Linked DNA regions of Lonchura striata. The protein of the gene in region 2 purifies or fractionates together with the protein of the main gene of each other region. This does not show direct contact. Links are inferred from orthologs where the notes say so. Each region holds a gene or a part of one and is shown on either strand. Other genes may lie near its edges.

Region 1 (7,403 bases), on a different chromosome or scaffold from region 2:
AAACCTGAGATCATGACTGAAGTTCAATTCACTGGGATGAAAAGGATTTTACCAGGAAGTAGAAGAAAAAATACTACACATATGTAAATCTCCTACAAATGTTTCATGTGAAAAAGCAATGCTGACTACCATGGAAAGGAATTACTAAAAAAAAAAACCAAAAACTAAGAGTTCCTAAACCTTTGGCATATTTTGTCAGTTTCAGGAATTTAACTTCATTCTTCATAGTCTAAATCAGTCCTTTAAAGAACAATGCATACTCTGTCTACACTAAACAGCTCCCTTGATCATTCATGTCTTTGGGAAGAACCTCTCAGATGTGTTTTTCATATCAATCTGTAAAGTTACACAAAGAGGGTTTGCCAGATAACATCGATGGCAGCCATATTGAATTTCTATGCCAGTTTCAACAGTGAGTATAATTACACTTATAAAGCTTGATAGCTTGATAAAAGAAATTCAGGGGCAAGACTGACCTTATAGCATGTATTAAAATTTCTATTGCAGTAGTTGTGCTGGAACTAAAACTTACCTATCTGACCAACTTTTACTCTAAAAGGTACATCCAGTTCACTCTGTAAATTACAAAAATAAAGTATTAAACAGAAGAAGTAGTAAAAATCAGATAAATTTGGATTATATTTGCAAAGTACTGTATTTACATACAGAAATTAAAAGCTACTTCTTTTCTACTGGAAAATCCTAGAAGGAAAACAAGACAGCAGCAGATGGGCAAACTAGAGTAAAAAAGAAGAACTGGACCATATCATATTCCTTTGATCCCTTCTTTTTCAAGCAAGTGTAGGCTACTTCTCTACAAGTGGTGTTTAATACTGACCTCCCTTTAATTACTTTTGCATGGAAATCTAACACATTGCAATTGTAAGGTTGTCAGAACCATCCCTTACTTTATGTTCTTGATTTGGTCTTGGCTCTGGTCAGTCACATACATGACTTTGCATTTTTCTACATCAGAACTGCTGGAATCTGAATCAACCCCCATTAGAAGGAAAGGTGTGTACAAAGTAACACTTCTTTCCTTCCTTGTCTACTAGACATGAAGACATTTGTAGCAATTGATTAGAACTACAACAAAGCCATCAGGAATGGATGAAATAGACAAGCAAAATATGAAATTTCAGAATAACAAAGAGAAGCCAGTGATCAGGTCATATAAAGATCCAATGTGTTTCCAGTGCACAGAAAAGTAACAGTTCTCTTTAGTGAAGTTGAAACCCATTAAATTTTGGAGCAAGATTCCCTCAGTAGTACAGATGTTCATTATCCAAATTAAGGAACATGAAAATCAGCCAAGTAATTTGTTTTTCCAGAAGAGTATGGGAACTTAATGAAAGTTACTTCTGTTTTTCAGCCACAGCTTTTCTTTCTCTTCCAGTAAAATGAGCAAAATTAGAAGCAGTTAACCAAGAACTTACTTCCTATAACCAGTAAAAAAAGAACTCAGTGTATCCTCTTGTGAGACTACAGTGAGCAACATTTCATCCTAAGTCTTAGTCTTTAGACCCATAAAACAAATACAAACTTATTAGTGTTATAAATGAGAATTTATTCAGCCAGATAGGATACTTACTAATGCGTTCTCCTTTATCTGTAAATTGTCAAGTGCCACATTACCTGTTTAGAAAAAAGGGAGAAGTACAGAAAAAATTACTTCAAGTATTACTTATGTTAGAAAAAGGAAGACAACCACAATCCTACCAAGTACTTAAGAATAAAACCTGAAAACATTCCAGTTACACAATAGCACAAGAAACATGTAATTTGTAAGAGCCACTAAACATGGGTTATAGAAAAAATTTCAGTTGGAAGAGATGATAAAAACACCACCAACTTAGATATCAACATGTTTCTACTCTATTAAATACACCCACAAGAATAGGAAGTCTTATTCACTTGGTGTGAATGACAATTGCAGTTCTATCAACATAGGGTAGACTTGGAAAATGGCATCTTGTTTTTCATGATTTCACATGAAAGAAAAATCATGAATCACAGAGCCACAAAAACACATTCCTGTTTTCACAAACACATTAACTTTTCCTGACGCAGACAATGTCATAGGATTTCTAAATTAAACACTGGCACAGAATTATACCTGAGGAAAGCCTATATACCTGTTAATACTTTAATGTCAGTTTCCTTAGAGCTATATTCCATTTCAAGTATAGGTATTAATACTGCTTAAATGCTAAGACACGTACAACCATGACGAGCAAAACTAAGGTGATGACCTACCTACGGAAGGCACCTAAACCAGCCAGCTTTCCTAGACAGTACTTCGGCTGCTTTTCTGCATGACTATAGCATAGCGAACGGAAGTGTTTTGATACATTCAGCGGGAACAGCTACTCCACAAACCTGCACTCCCCGGCTGTTTAACACGTATTATTTACACCGATAACTGAAACACACGGCTCCCCAAGCACTCCATCAGCTGCACCGGCACCAGGGGCACTGCGCCATAAGCCCGCCCACAGTTCCAACAGCACCATCGTGCTTCCACCCAGCACCCGAGACAAGGAATAGGAGAAATAACAGGGGTTTTATCGGTGTCGGCGGTCTCCTCCCTCGAAGCGCTCCGAGGCCAGCGCCGTGCGCCCATGCCCCCGCCCCACAGACCGACGCGAGGGAGAGGTGCCAGGGACGCCGGGCACACGAGGACCGACGGTCCCCCACGGGAGCGGGGACGTGTGCGGCCACGCACCGCCCGCCCGCCTCGGAGGGCCGCGGCCCCGGAACTCGCCTCCTGCTCCCGGGGGCCCGCAAAGCCACCGCTCGTCCCTCAGAGGGGCCGGCGGTCCCGCGGCCCGCGGACCCCTCACAGGGTAACCGCGGCCAGCCAGACCTGCTCCCCCTGCCCCCGGTAACTCCGGCGGCCCGGCGGACACGGAGCAGCAGAGGGAAGGGGCTCCTTACCCCCCCATATGCCCAGCTTGAGCTGAGACTTGTTCAGGTTCTCCACATAGTCGCCCAGGAAGCGGTTCAGCAGATCCGCCACCACTGATTCCAGCACCATGGCGTAGGCGGCCCCTCAGCCGCGGCCGCCGGCTGGGAGGGGAGCGGAGCGCAGGGGAGGGGGCGGCGAGCGCGGCGTGACCCAGCGCGGGCGCGCCCCCGGCAGTCAGCTGACGGGGCGGGGCGCAGCCCGGCGCCCGCCGGGGTGCGGAGGTGCGGGGCGTGGGGGGACTCGGAGCGGCGGAACGGCGGCGGCGCCGGGCGCGGCCAGACCCCGGGCGGCAGCGCAGGATCCCGAGCCCGCCGCCGGCGCTCGGAGCCGCGGGGCCGAACGAGCGCGCGAAGCGGGGCGGGGTCGGCGCGGCGCGCATGGCGCCCCCTTGCGGCGCGGATCCGCGGCCGCAGCCGCCGCTCCCCCGGCGCTTCGCGGGGCGAAGAGACCGCGTGAGGGAGGAGCGGCCGCGGCACCGTCCTGTCACCGGCACCGCGCCCCGGCTGCTCACCCGCGGACGCCGTCCCGGCGCCGGCATCGCGCCTCGGCTCCTCAGCAGGCCCGGGGAGCCGTGCGGGTGGGACGGGAGGCTGGCGGGGGCGCGGGGAAGGCGCCGGCGCAGCCGCCCTCGGTTCCCCTCAGGCGGGTCCCGCCGAGAGCCGCTCGGTTCCCCTCAGGCGGGTCCCGCCGAGAGCCGCTCGGTGCCGCCCGTTCGCCGTGTGGGGCCGCGGCGCCGCCTTTGGGCCCTGCCGCTGCCGGCGCCGTCCCAGGGCGAGTTGTGCACCTCAGTTCACCTGGGACTGGCGGGACCTGCGTGTGCTTAACAGTGTCTTAGAAAACTATTTCTGATTTTAAAACTGGTAATTAAACTCTTTAAATCTAGCAGTTCAGGAAACTCACAGAGGAAGTAAACACAAATGAGAAAAAAATCCCAAAGCCCAGATGTTTTAGAGGTAATAGGACTGCAGAGAAATTACATAAGAACATGCTACTCCGTGCGGTGAACCTGCAGGTAGCAATGTCAGCCCTGGAACAAATTTTTAAATCTCTGAAGTGCTAATCTCAAACTGGTTCTGTAAAGTCATTCTGAACCCATAGGAGCTCAATTATTCATGGAAGTACAGCACTTGATAGCTCAAAATGGCATATTCAGTCTAAAAATGTATTCCAAAGAGCAGAAAACAATATTAGCAATAGAATTCACCCTCAAAAATATGGGAAAATACATCAACACCGCATAAATATAATCACGGTTAGACAAATATTGCTTTAAACAGCGTTCAAATCTATTGTGGATCTTAGTGCAAGCTGATTTTACAAAACCACAAAGCTGAAGGAAAATATTTAAGTTTGACAGAGGAAAGGTCCATCAGCAATTGTTACCACTCTGGTTTTGTTACAGCCTGTGCTTCAGGCTTGCAAACTCCCTCTTGCTGCAGTTAAGGTAAATCCACAGAGCTTTGCTAGGAACACTTTTGACTTTATTTGAATTGTGGATGCTCACCTTCATCAAAATGCATGTATCAAATGCATTTTCAGTTTATCAAACCACAGTAAACCACATAGTGCAGTTCAGAGCATGCAAGCAGCACAAAAGGTTTTATCACCTTTTCACAAAGTGTGAAGAAGCAAAGGGCATACATTATTATTAAATATATATACACATACCTACATATATATATATATGCCTACCTTTATGTTAAATTTACTTGTTTAATTGTTTTGTACAGACTTGGCTTTTCCCGTCAGAGAGAAGAGACAATGGAAGAAAACATGTCAGGAAATTGTGAATAAACTTCCTGCTGCCATTCTATTAGGTAATGATTTTTCATTTGGAATTTTTAAAAATGAAGTTTTGAAATATTTTAATTTCTGTGTATACAAACCACAGCTGAATGACTAAAGCTTAAGCAAAAGTTCTGGTTAATCAGGGACAGCTGTATGTCAATTTAAGAGCAAATCAATGGTAGTAAGTTTTCTCTGTAACAATTATACAATACAGCCAGGATTATATATCCATCTTCTACTTCATTTTTCATCATGCTCATCATTTCTGCACAGGAAAAAACATACTCAAAGAAAATTTAATCACAACTATAAAGGGTGTTGAAAACCACAAAAAGTAGTTTTTATGTAGTTAAATAATATCCTGACTGATCAAAGTGTTGTTCTAAAGAACTTAAAAGAGTTCCATGAATTCATAAAATCATCTGTTTTGAGGAAATGGCCTCAAGTAGCTCCAGGACAGGATTAAGTTGGATATTAGAAAAAATTTCTTCACTGAAAGGTTACCAAGCATTGGGATAGGCTGCTCAGGGAAGGAGTGGGGGTATTAAAAATACCTGTGGATATGGCTCTTAAGGATGTGGTTTAGTGCTGGCTTGGGCAGTGCAGAACAAAAGTTCTGCACCTTTAAGGATCTTAAAGGTCCTTTCCAACCTAAACAATTCTATGTTTTCCAGAAAATGTAGGCATGAGATGTAGTGGATCAAAAATTGGTCCTGAAGGAGTGTGATTTAACCTGGAAAAGATCACCAACCAGTACATTTGTGTCAGATATCCCATTTCAGTAAATCCTACATAGATTTTTAAAAATAAAAGGAAAATAAATGGAATTAAGAATGGAAAACCTGTGAGCAGTTTTATTAGATATTTTATCAACCATGTGTGTGGTTTAAATACTGCAATATTACTTGAAAATAAAGGCACATAGTATTGCACCTCTATTACCTGCAATCCTTTGTTAATCTGCCTGAGAATCTCTTGGAGACAGGACACCACTCAAAAATTACATTAATGTTGTTCTGTCTGTAGGTAGGTGCCATTCCTTGTGTGTTCTCAACAAGAAAAGAAACAGTCCAATATGGGATGCAGGGGAGGGAAACAAACCCAAAACCCCCTCATCCACAAATTATATGTCATAAGAATTCTGTATCTAGGAGAACAAATCCAGGACAAACAGAAGTATTTGCCCACCATTCATTGAATACACAAATAATGTTAATTCTCCCTGGGGAAAACCCAGGCACTCTACTTACCTTTTCCTAATGATTGGTTTGATAAATATGAATTAAATAATTACTTTTACTCAGGCAAAAGTCATCAAAAGCTCATTTTATATTATTGTAGCACTCTGTTAAATATCTGATAATCTGATGATTCCATCACTGCACTAATTTACTAAAAAAATATAAATACAAGATTGTGACACTTCTGTTTGTAGGTGTGCTATTTTATGTGGCAAGATTTGATCAAACTTCTTAGGGAAACCTTTACCAAAACTATGAAGCCTAAAAAAAGACAAGAAATCTGCATTAAAAGTTATCAGTTAGAGCTGAAATTTTATTAATAACTGCAACAACAAGTATTTGTTTAGAGTTGCCTATTACGCAATCCTGCATACGTAAACAAATAATAGCCACAGCAGTTCTAATCTGAGGTGAGTACATGGGTTGAAAGCTCAATAGCCAAGCTTTCATCTCCTGTTTTACTGCATTAATATTATAAAGTCTCAGCTCCTACCCTCTGACTGTTGGCAAGTGAACAGATGGCAAATTTTATCCACTGTACCTCACTAAACACACTGTATGCCTATTAGCAGTTGGGAAATCAGCCAGGTAATGTTGCATCAACTCTCATCACAAAGTCTACAGAGATAAGAGGACTTCGTGATGAGTTAGATCAGGTTGCCAAAAGTCAAAAGTGTTTGGACAACTTCAGAAAATCTCCAAAACCCAATTATGCCACAGCCTCTCTGAGCAGCTAGTTCCTTGTCAACTCTGATTATGTTTCATTCCTTCCAGCTACTGAGGATTTCCCTTGTCACAATTTTGGATTGTTACAGTCTCAGAAGTAACTATATTATTAAAGCACATATTTTTGGACCTAACAAATGGAAAAGATCAATATTCATCTTCTTACCAATTTGTCTTTTGTAAAGAAAAGTTTAGAATGCTCTACAAGTAGTAGTATTCGATACTGGGGTTAATCTTATTTATATTTTGATTTTAAATTTTTATAATAAGTTCATTTTGCACTGATTTTCATTTTTTTCTAAGTAATACACAGGAGATTTCATTAGTGCTGAATGCACTTATAGACAATAAGTGAAAACAAAAGGTGCTTAAACAGTTATGGCAAATACTAGAATAAACACCCAAATTACATGGATTAGAGTAGCAAAATAGTTAAAACAACTGATACTACTTGGAACACTGCTAATAATTAAGACATTTCTTAGAAATTTTTACAACACTTAATCTTATTAGCAGTAAGTAAACCCAGCAGTTTAAGATATATTAAGATGTCTGATGCACTAAGAAGATGCCAACACAGCAATCTGCTTTCCCTTTTCCCTTGTAACAGCTGGAGAGTCTCGATTCTCAGAGAAGAACTGGCATCTGCAAAAAGCTGTGATAGTGTTTCACTGTGTGTC
Region 2 (7,272 bases):
CCTCCAATCCCATCCCAGTTAGGAGCTTCCAGGAAGTTACTGATGATTCCCGAAATCAAAGGTGTCTTCAGCAGCCTGGACAATCAGGTGGCAGGTGCACCCATAGCCTGCGGAGTGCCAGGCTCTGGAGGGACCCCAAGGCCATAGCTCTGCATTTCACTGTGCTCAGACAGCCCGACCATGACCTGTCTGGGACTGTCACCGCGGCGCTCTGGGTGCCCAGCACGCTGCTGTACATAGAGAGAGTTGCATCCCAAATGGACCTTTCGCTGGAGGAACACCCCACCCCGATCTATGCAACCCCACAGGGGGCAGCTCACCCGCCGCATTGGCCGCCTGCGATTCCCTTTGGTGCTGATGCATCCCTGCAGCCAGAGCAGTGGTGGCAGCAGAAGAACCAACATGACGCTGAGCTCTGTCCCATCCCTGGCCCAGGGTTCAGACCCTGGTTCAGACCTCTGCTGTGACTCCCATTCCCTCCCAGCCCTCGGGAGGAGGCGGGTTGGTGTGTGCACCTGGGAATCCACACGCACAAGCACACATATCTGACGTCTTGGCCATAAGCAGCGCCTGGATTTCACAAGGATTTTGCCCAGCGTGCTCCACTGATGCTCAGGATGGGTCCTGGCACGGGGAGCTGAACAGGAAGTGGCCAATGGGCAACTCAGATGGCTGAAACATATCTGCTTCCCAGGCCTGGAGCCTGAAACAGATCTGCTTGCCAGGCCTGGAGCCTTGGCAAGGGCAGGAAAGCTGCAGGAAGGAGCACACACACACCTGCAGGGTAGCACCTACTGTGGAGCCACCACTGTACTCCTGCCACAGAGACAGGAGAGTGAGGGAGCCCCTGGGTATGAATTCAGCTGCTCAGGGCATCCCTTGCTCAGGGAAGGAGGAGAGTAGAGAGAGGGCACCAAGAGAAGACTGAGCAGCTGTACATGCAGACAATGGAAAGGTCTTGCAGCAGTGGTGGGATATGTGGCTTGGAGCGCAGCTGAGGGAAACAAGGCTCCCAGCAGGGAGGCCAGGGATAGGGAGATGGTCCCACAGCCCAGGGGACACGTAAGGACCCCACATCCCAGGGGACAGGAGCCTGTGCTGGCTGGACAGGAGGGACGCTGTCCCCGTTCCCCAGTGCCAAGCAGCCCGTGGCCGGGGTGCCCCCAGCCATTCCTGCCCGTCTCACTGTGCCCTTCCCAGCCCCTGGGGTCACCCCCAGTCCAGCCATCGCAGCAGGACAGTGGGTCCCCTCCTGTGCCATGAGCCCCTGGTGTTGTGCCCAGCCCCTCAGAAGCTTGGGGAGCCTGGAGCAGCTGGGCTCCAGCTTGCAGAGCCGCGTGGCACCAGTGGGCCTGTTCCCCTCCATTGTTCCAAAAAGCCTGTGCTGGAGCCACGGCTGCTCCTTGCCCCTCACCAGTTCTTGGCACTTTAACCCTGTGAAAGCCATTCCTTCTAGTAACAATAATACTGCAATGAGCTGCGTAAGAAACCCCCGTTATGGCATCCCCCCAAATCCCCTCCTGCTCTCCAAAGCATTTACTGCCTTTGACTTAGCACATGCTGTACTAGGAGTAGGGATAGTCCATAGCGCTCGGTAATGTGTGCCCTCTGTAAATAACCTTGGAGTGATGTGAAATTTGATTCAAAACACCAGAAAAAAAAAAAACAAAACAAGCCCAAAATGGAATATCCAGACTCTAGGGACTTGGCCAGTACCCTCCTGTAATGTTCATTGTATATTTTTTTGATGTACTATAACTGTTGGGAAAAAAAAAAAAAGGAAAATATTTTGATAATCGAATCTCATCGCTTTATTGTGTTACTCAGTAAATAAAAGAACAAGTATAAACACACTGGGGCTTTTCATCAGTTCTTTTCCTACATCCAGACTACCTGAAGGGAACAAGCGTTGCTGGGTAGGGCTGGGACACCTGTGCCTTGTCTTATGGTGGTTCTGAGAGGAGGCAGCATTGTGACAGGTGGGCAGTGAGAGCTGCCATAGCCCAAAGCATCTGGAGTGTGCAGCCTAAGTACAGTCCCAGCTCCTCCAAGGATCTAGGTATGCAGGTAAAGCACAACCCCATCTCCTCCAAGCTCATGGCCGAGTCTGCACTCAGGAAAAGGGCTGGAATGGTGGATTTGGGCACCCTGCCCTCAGGAACAGCACCTGCCCTGCTCTAGGCATTCCCTGGTGCAGCATGTCGGGATATTCCAGTGCATAAAGGAGCAGTGGAAACTGCCAGGGTAAGGGACAAGCTGCCAGGGAGCAGCACAGAGCCAGCTGGGGCAGGGCAAGGAGAGCTGCTTGGCTGGAGGCAGGGTCAGCAAACAGGCTCTGCCCACACGTTATCAGGAAATAGAAAAAGAGGGAGTTGTTCCCTCCAGATGTAGAGCTGACGCCCACGTTCCAGCCAGCCTGTGCTGTGCCTCTGTTCCACTCTCCCAGCCTGTACCTGAGAGCAGAGGGGGTCACTGAGTGAATCCTGACCTTCCTGTAGCACCTCTGACAGCTGCAGGGGCTGGGCAGGGAGAGGAGTGGCTCCTGTCCCACTGCCTCTCTCATCTGCCAGGACCATCCCTAGCCCTGGGATGATTGTTCCTCCTGCCACCTGCTTCCCACAGGCTCTGTGACACAGACAGGACTCAGCAGGAGGTGGGTGCAAGGAAAGCAGGAAGGTGAGGAAGAGGAGGTGGCAATAGAAGGGAAGGGGAAGCAGGCTCATCCATCCATGGATCCACTGCCCTTGTTCTTGCGGCTCAGGGGAAAGGCAGACTTGCTCTGTGGCTGTGTCATCTTGCTGGCCAGGTAGATGAAGGGCTCGATCAGCGTGCGCCGGTCAGCCACGGACACCTCCCACAGCTTCACCTTCTCGCCCTTGGCCCAGTGCTGGGCTGCATCATGGTCCACCCGGCGCTGCTCCTGCAGGTCACACTTGTTGCCCAAAACCACAATGGTGACCTGTTCCAAAAGGTTGAGAAGGGCCCCTGACGACCAAACACAGCTGCAGGGTTGGCTCTGCCATGGAGACCCTCAGTGGTGGGCCTGGCCCTGCCACGGAGACCCTCAGTGATGGGCCTGGCCCTGTCCATGTCAAGGCCTTTTGAAATCCAATGATCTCAGTGCTCCCTTCCCCACCTGCTAGGGTCTGCGTGTCCCAAACCAGCCCCAGAGTGGAAGGAACTTCTGAGCACCTGTAAACTCAGAGAGCATCCCAGAGAACAGCCTGTTACTCCTGTGAGTCTCACAGATCAGGGACCCATCAGTACCTTGTGACAGGCTGGAGAAACCAAAGGTGAGAACCTGCCCCACGGCAGCAGATCCTCCTGCGGGGGGACTCACCTCCTTCTTGTCCTTGGACTTGTCGATCTCCTTCTTGAGCAACTCGACACGCTTGAAGGACTCCTTGTTGTCGGTGCTGTAGACCAGCACGTATCCGTCGGTGCAGGAGAAGCAGTGCTTGGGCAGCTCCAGCCCGTCCCGCAGCCCCCGCGTGTCGTAGAAGCGCACCTGCTCCCGCACGCCGCGGTCCGTCTCGATGGAGCCCACGTAAATGTCCTCCTGGGTCTCGATCATCTCCGAGCCTGCCGGGGGCGGGCAGCGGGCGCTGCGAGCGCTGCCGGGGCCCGGCCCCGGCCCAGCGCGGGAGCTGTCCCGGCCGGTGCTCGGGGCGGACAGCCCTGCCCAGGCCCGACCTGCCCGCCGCACCCGCACTCACCGACCACATGGTTCCCGTAGAGCAGCTGCTCCAGGATGGAGGTTTTCCCCACCGAGGCCTGCCCGCACACCACCACCTTGCAGCTCTTGCCCATGCCGCCTCACCGCGGCCGCCGAGCCTCACCGGCGGCGGGAGGCGCGCGGCGGCACCGCAGCGCCCCCTGCGGGCGGGCGGACCGCGGCACGCAGCGCCGCCCTGCCGTGCGGCGGGAGGGGGCGTGGCCGGCGCAAGCTCCGCCCACCGCCCGGTCAAGTTCCGCCCTCCTCCCGGTACCGGCCCCTCCCGATGCCGCCGCCGGGCTCCTCCGCGGGCGCCCCCTGCCGGTCGGGCCCCGGCCCGCCCCACCGGCGGAGGTCCCGCCCGTTCCGGCCCTCGCCCCGCCCCGCCCCGCCCCGGTCCGGCCCAGCCCCGCGCGGTAAGATGGCGGCGGCGGCGGCTGAGGCCGAGTGCGATGTGGTCATGGCGGCGCCCGACGGGCCCGGCGAGACCGACAGCGACGAGGAGGCGCGCAGGTAGAGCGGCGGCCCGGGCGGGGAAAGGGCGGCCCCTGTCCCTGCCGGTGGGCCCGGCGAGGCTGCGGGTGCCGCAGGGCCCGGGGCCGCGGCGCTCGGCAGGGCCCGGAGCTGCGGTCGGTCCCCGCCCGGGCCGGCCCCGCGGGCGGCGTGCTCGGTGCGGGCCGGCCGCGAGCGGCGGCGCCCCGGGGCTCCGCGGCGGGGCCCGGCGGGCGGTGACAGCCACACAGCCACGGGCCGCACGCGGCGGGGCCCGGAGCCGCTGGATTTGGGATGCGGTGCCGCTGTGTCCCGGTGTGCTCCCGCCGCCGCCGTGCGCACCGGGATTAGAGGAGCCGCCCCGGTAGCGGGGTGTCCCAGCAATGCAGCTCACACCCTGTGTCCCGAGGCCGCACACCCTCACCGCTGCCGGGGGAGCGCGTCCTCCCCCTGGCTGGGGAGGGGAGGATTAAACTCGTGGGAAGAGGAAGCTCCAAACTCCTGAACCCTCTGCTGCTTCGTCACCCCATTCCCCTGGTTCTGGTCCCTTTGAGACCTGCCCAGAGCGGGTTCCACTCTGTCCTGCCTTGCTGTGGGAAACGGGAAAGACTCCTTGGGCAGAGCGCTGCTGCGGGAATGCTCCATCATCCCGGAGCTCTCGGTTTGTCCGTGCTGTGCTGGTGCAGCTGGCAGTGGCACCTGAGGCGGGGTAAGATGGGATCCCCACCTTTCCTGCATGTTTTCCCTCCAGGAGTGAGTGAGCTGTGGGAAAATCCTGGCAACTCCACTGGTTTTCCATAGTGGCAGGTGCTGGTTCATAACCCAGGGAGCTGGAAGGAAAGAGCCGTTCCTGGAGGAGCTGAGGCATTTGCTCTGGAGGATGATTCAGTGGAATGAAGAAGAAACAAAACCAAAAGTGGCCTCTGAGGAATGGTGGTTTCAGCCTCCCATTGATGGCTCAAGGGATTTTACGGAATTGAGGCCTGAGGAGCAGCTCCCTGGGGAGATCCTGCTGAGCAGGAAGGGAGGAGCTGCTGAAGAGGCACTTGGGGTTCACAGAGCACCGACATCGCCCAGCCTGTGGGGCTGGGACAGGCTTGTGTGGGCACATCACTCCTGCCCCTTGGGCAAGCGAAGTGAGTAGTTTGAAATGGTGGAAATTCGCAGAGGTAAAACCCTGGCTGAAGGCACAGGTGTCTGCAGGTAGTGACCTCCAGCTCCTTTCTTCATTCCTGAGGCTGTGCTGTGCACCGCTTTCATTAGGCACCTTCACAGCGTTTCCTTTTCGTGTTCTTCTGGGAATGTAACACCTTTCCCGTGCTGAAATGGACCCATATGGGCAGGAGCTGATTCTTTGGTGTTGCTCTGGAGGAGCCAGCCCTGCACAACCTGATTTCTGTGCAGTTCTGTGCATTAACCTCTTCCCTACCCCAGCCCTTCCTGTTTCACTGCAGTAGTTCAATGGCTCTCATGGAAATCAGAGCAATAGCTGCTGCACTGGGGAGTGGAGTTGGAGCTTCAGAAGGTGTCAGGTGTTTGTGAGATATCCCAGGCCAGGTAAGAGCTGGGTGAGCTCCACATGGGACGCATTGATTTGGTGCAGCCTTTGAGGTGTATCTTCACTCACTTCGGTAAAAATCATCAGAAATAAGGGCAGACCTTTTCAGAATCCTTATGATAACTCAGCAATGAGGGTTCCATGTTCTGTTGTTTCCATTTAGGGATTACAGTATGGCAGAATATGGATACTTTGCTCAAGGATTCACCTTGTCCAAATGCACGATTCTGTTCTCTGTGGCTTAATAAAACTGGGAAGTTAGAAAACAAGCAAAAGGGGAGATCTGCATTTCAGAATGGCTGTAACTAACGCCCTGAAGCAGCTGCAGACATGCCAGAGGGCTCCCAGGGTGTCCAGGGCACAGGAATGGAGTGTGGTCACAGGATAATTATTGTCTGCTGCTGCCTCATGGATGGTTGGGGTCCTGGCAGGAAGTGTTGATGTAATTGTGTTAATTTTATCCATTGGTGCACCAGTGCGGAGCAGCTGATGAGCAGGACTGGGCCACCCCTACAAACTCACTTGATTCTTCATTAATTTTAAATGTTTCTCACCCATGGGAGCAGTTTTTCCCTGCTCCCAGCTGCTTTATGAGCTTGGGCCCCTGGAGCTTTGCCAGGGAGAATTTCCTTGTCATCTTCCTGGCAACTCTGGGTTTTGGCTCCTGTGCATCCTCCAGGCTGGATCTTTCTCCTTCTTCAGCACTGGATCATGTGGGAGCTTTCTTTTCTTGAAAAGAAATACCTCCAGCTGTTGGGAAAATACTGTTAAGAGATTGCAGAGCCCCTGCTGCAGGTTTGGGATGTGTTGGTGCCTCTGTGGGGACATTGACATTTCCCACAGCAAAGTGACGAGCAAGGAGTGGCCCACACAGAGTCCTGGAGGTTCTGGGCCTGGCCAGGCTGTGGGTCCCTGGCCAGGTCTGCAGGTGTTGCCTGGAGCTTGTCAGGTGTTGGTGAGCACCAAGAGGCTTCTCCAGTGCATGGGGTGAGGTGCATCTCAGTGAGGCTCCTCCAGAATAATTGTCCTTGCTCGCCAGCTTTGGGGCAGCGCTGGCAGGAGCGGGGTGAATCATCTGAGGGGCACCAGGTCCTTCTGGGATAACTTGGAGAAGGCTCTCCTGTTCCTCTTCTGCCTGTAAATGGGCACTTGGACTTCCCAGGTGATAAACCAGCCCATTTTACTCATCTGGAATTATTTTATGATCTCATGATCATACCAGAAGCAGCAGAAGGTACTCAAGTTGTTGTTTGCTTCCTTGTGCATCTGCAGAGTATTTAAATATCTAACTTAGGCAGTTGCTTTATCTAGTAGGGAAAGGTGATCCATACTAACAGTTTCAACCTATTTCCTTAACACAAAATGTGCTTTTTTGAGGTGAATCATAACGTAGATGCAGCTGTTTTCCCATGGAATTCTTAAGCTGGTTGGCTTCCTTCATTCAAAAGGAATTGCTTCCTTCAAAAAAAGCACTCAGGCTGATTCTAGACCCTTCCATGGGTTTTTC

Evidence for each region. Proteins that work in one complex are often made in the same cells at the same time.
Region 1: the proteins of DNAJC7 (region 2) and VPS13C purify together in Homo sapiens (co-immunoprecipitation; 4 studies listed by BioGRID and IntAct, counting the BioPlex papers as one, with this or other methods). This does not show direct contact. The link is inferred for Lonchura striata from reciprocal best matches to the Homo sapiens genes DNAJC7 and VPS13C.

Annotation. Positions count from the first base shown.
Region 1 is NC_134613.1:8,225,588-8,232,990, reverse strand, and holds the start of VPS13C (intermembrane lipid transfer protein VPS13C), read right to left. Parts: upstream 3,138-7,403; 5' UTR 3,038-3,137; coding exon 2,938-3,037; intron 1,636-2,937; coding exon 1,592-1,635; intron 576-1,591; coding exon 533-575; intron 1-532. UniProt on the Homo sapiens protein: Mediates the transfer of lipids between membranes at organelle contact sites. Necessary for proper mitochondrial function and maintenance of mitochondrial transmembrane potential.
Region 2 is NC_134627.1:6,513,832-6,521,103, forward strand, and holds the start of DNAJC7 (dnaJ homolog subfamily C member 7), read left to right. Parts: upstream 1-4,100; 5' UTR 4,101-4,136; coding exon 4,137-4,228; intron 4,229-7,272. Other genes in the region: NKIRAS2 (NF-kappa-B inhibitor-interacting Ras-like protein 2), read right to left, coding at 2,720-2,959, 3,341-3,582, 3,717-3,810. UniProt on the Homo sapiens protein: Acts as a co-chaperone regulating the molecular chaperones HSP70 and HSP90 in folding of steroid receptors, such as the glucocorticoid receptor and the progesterone receptor.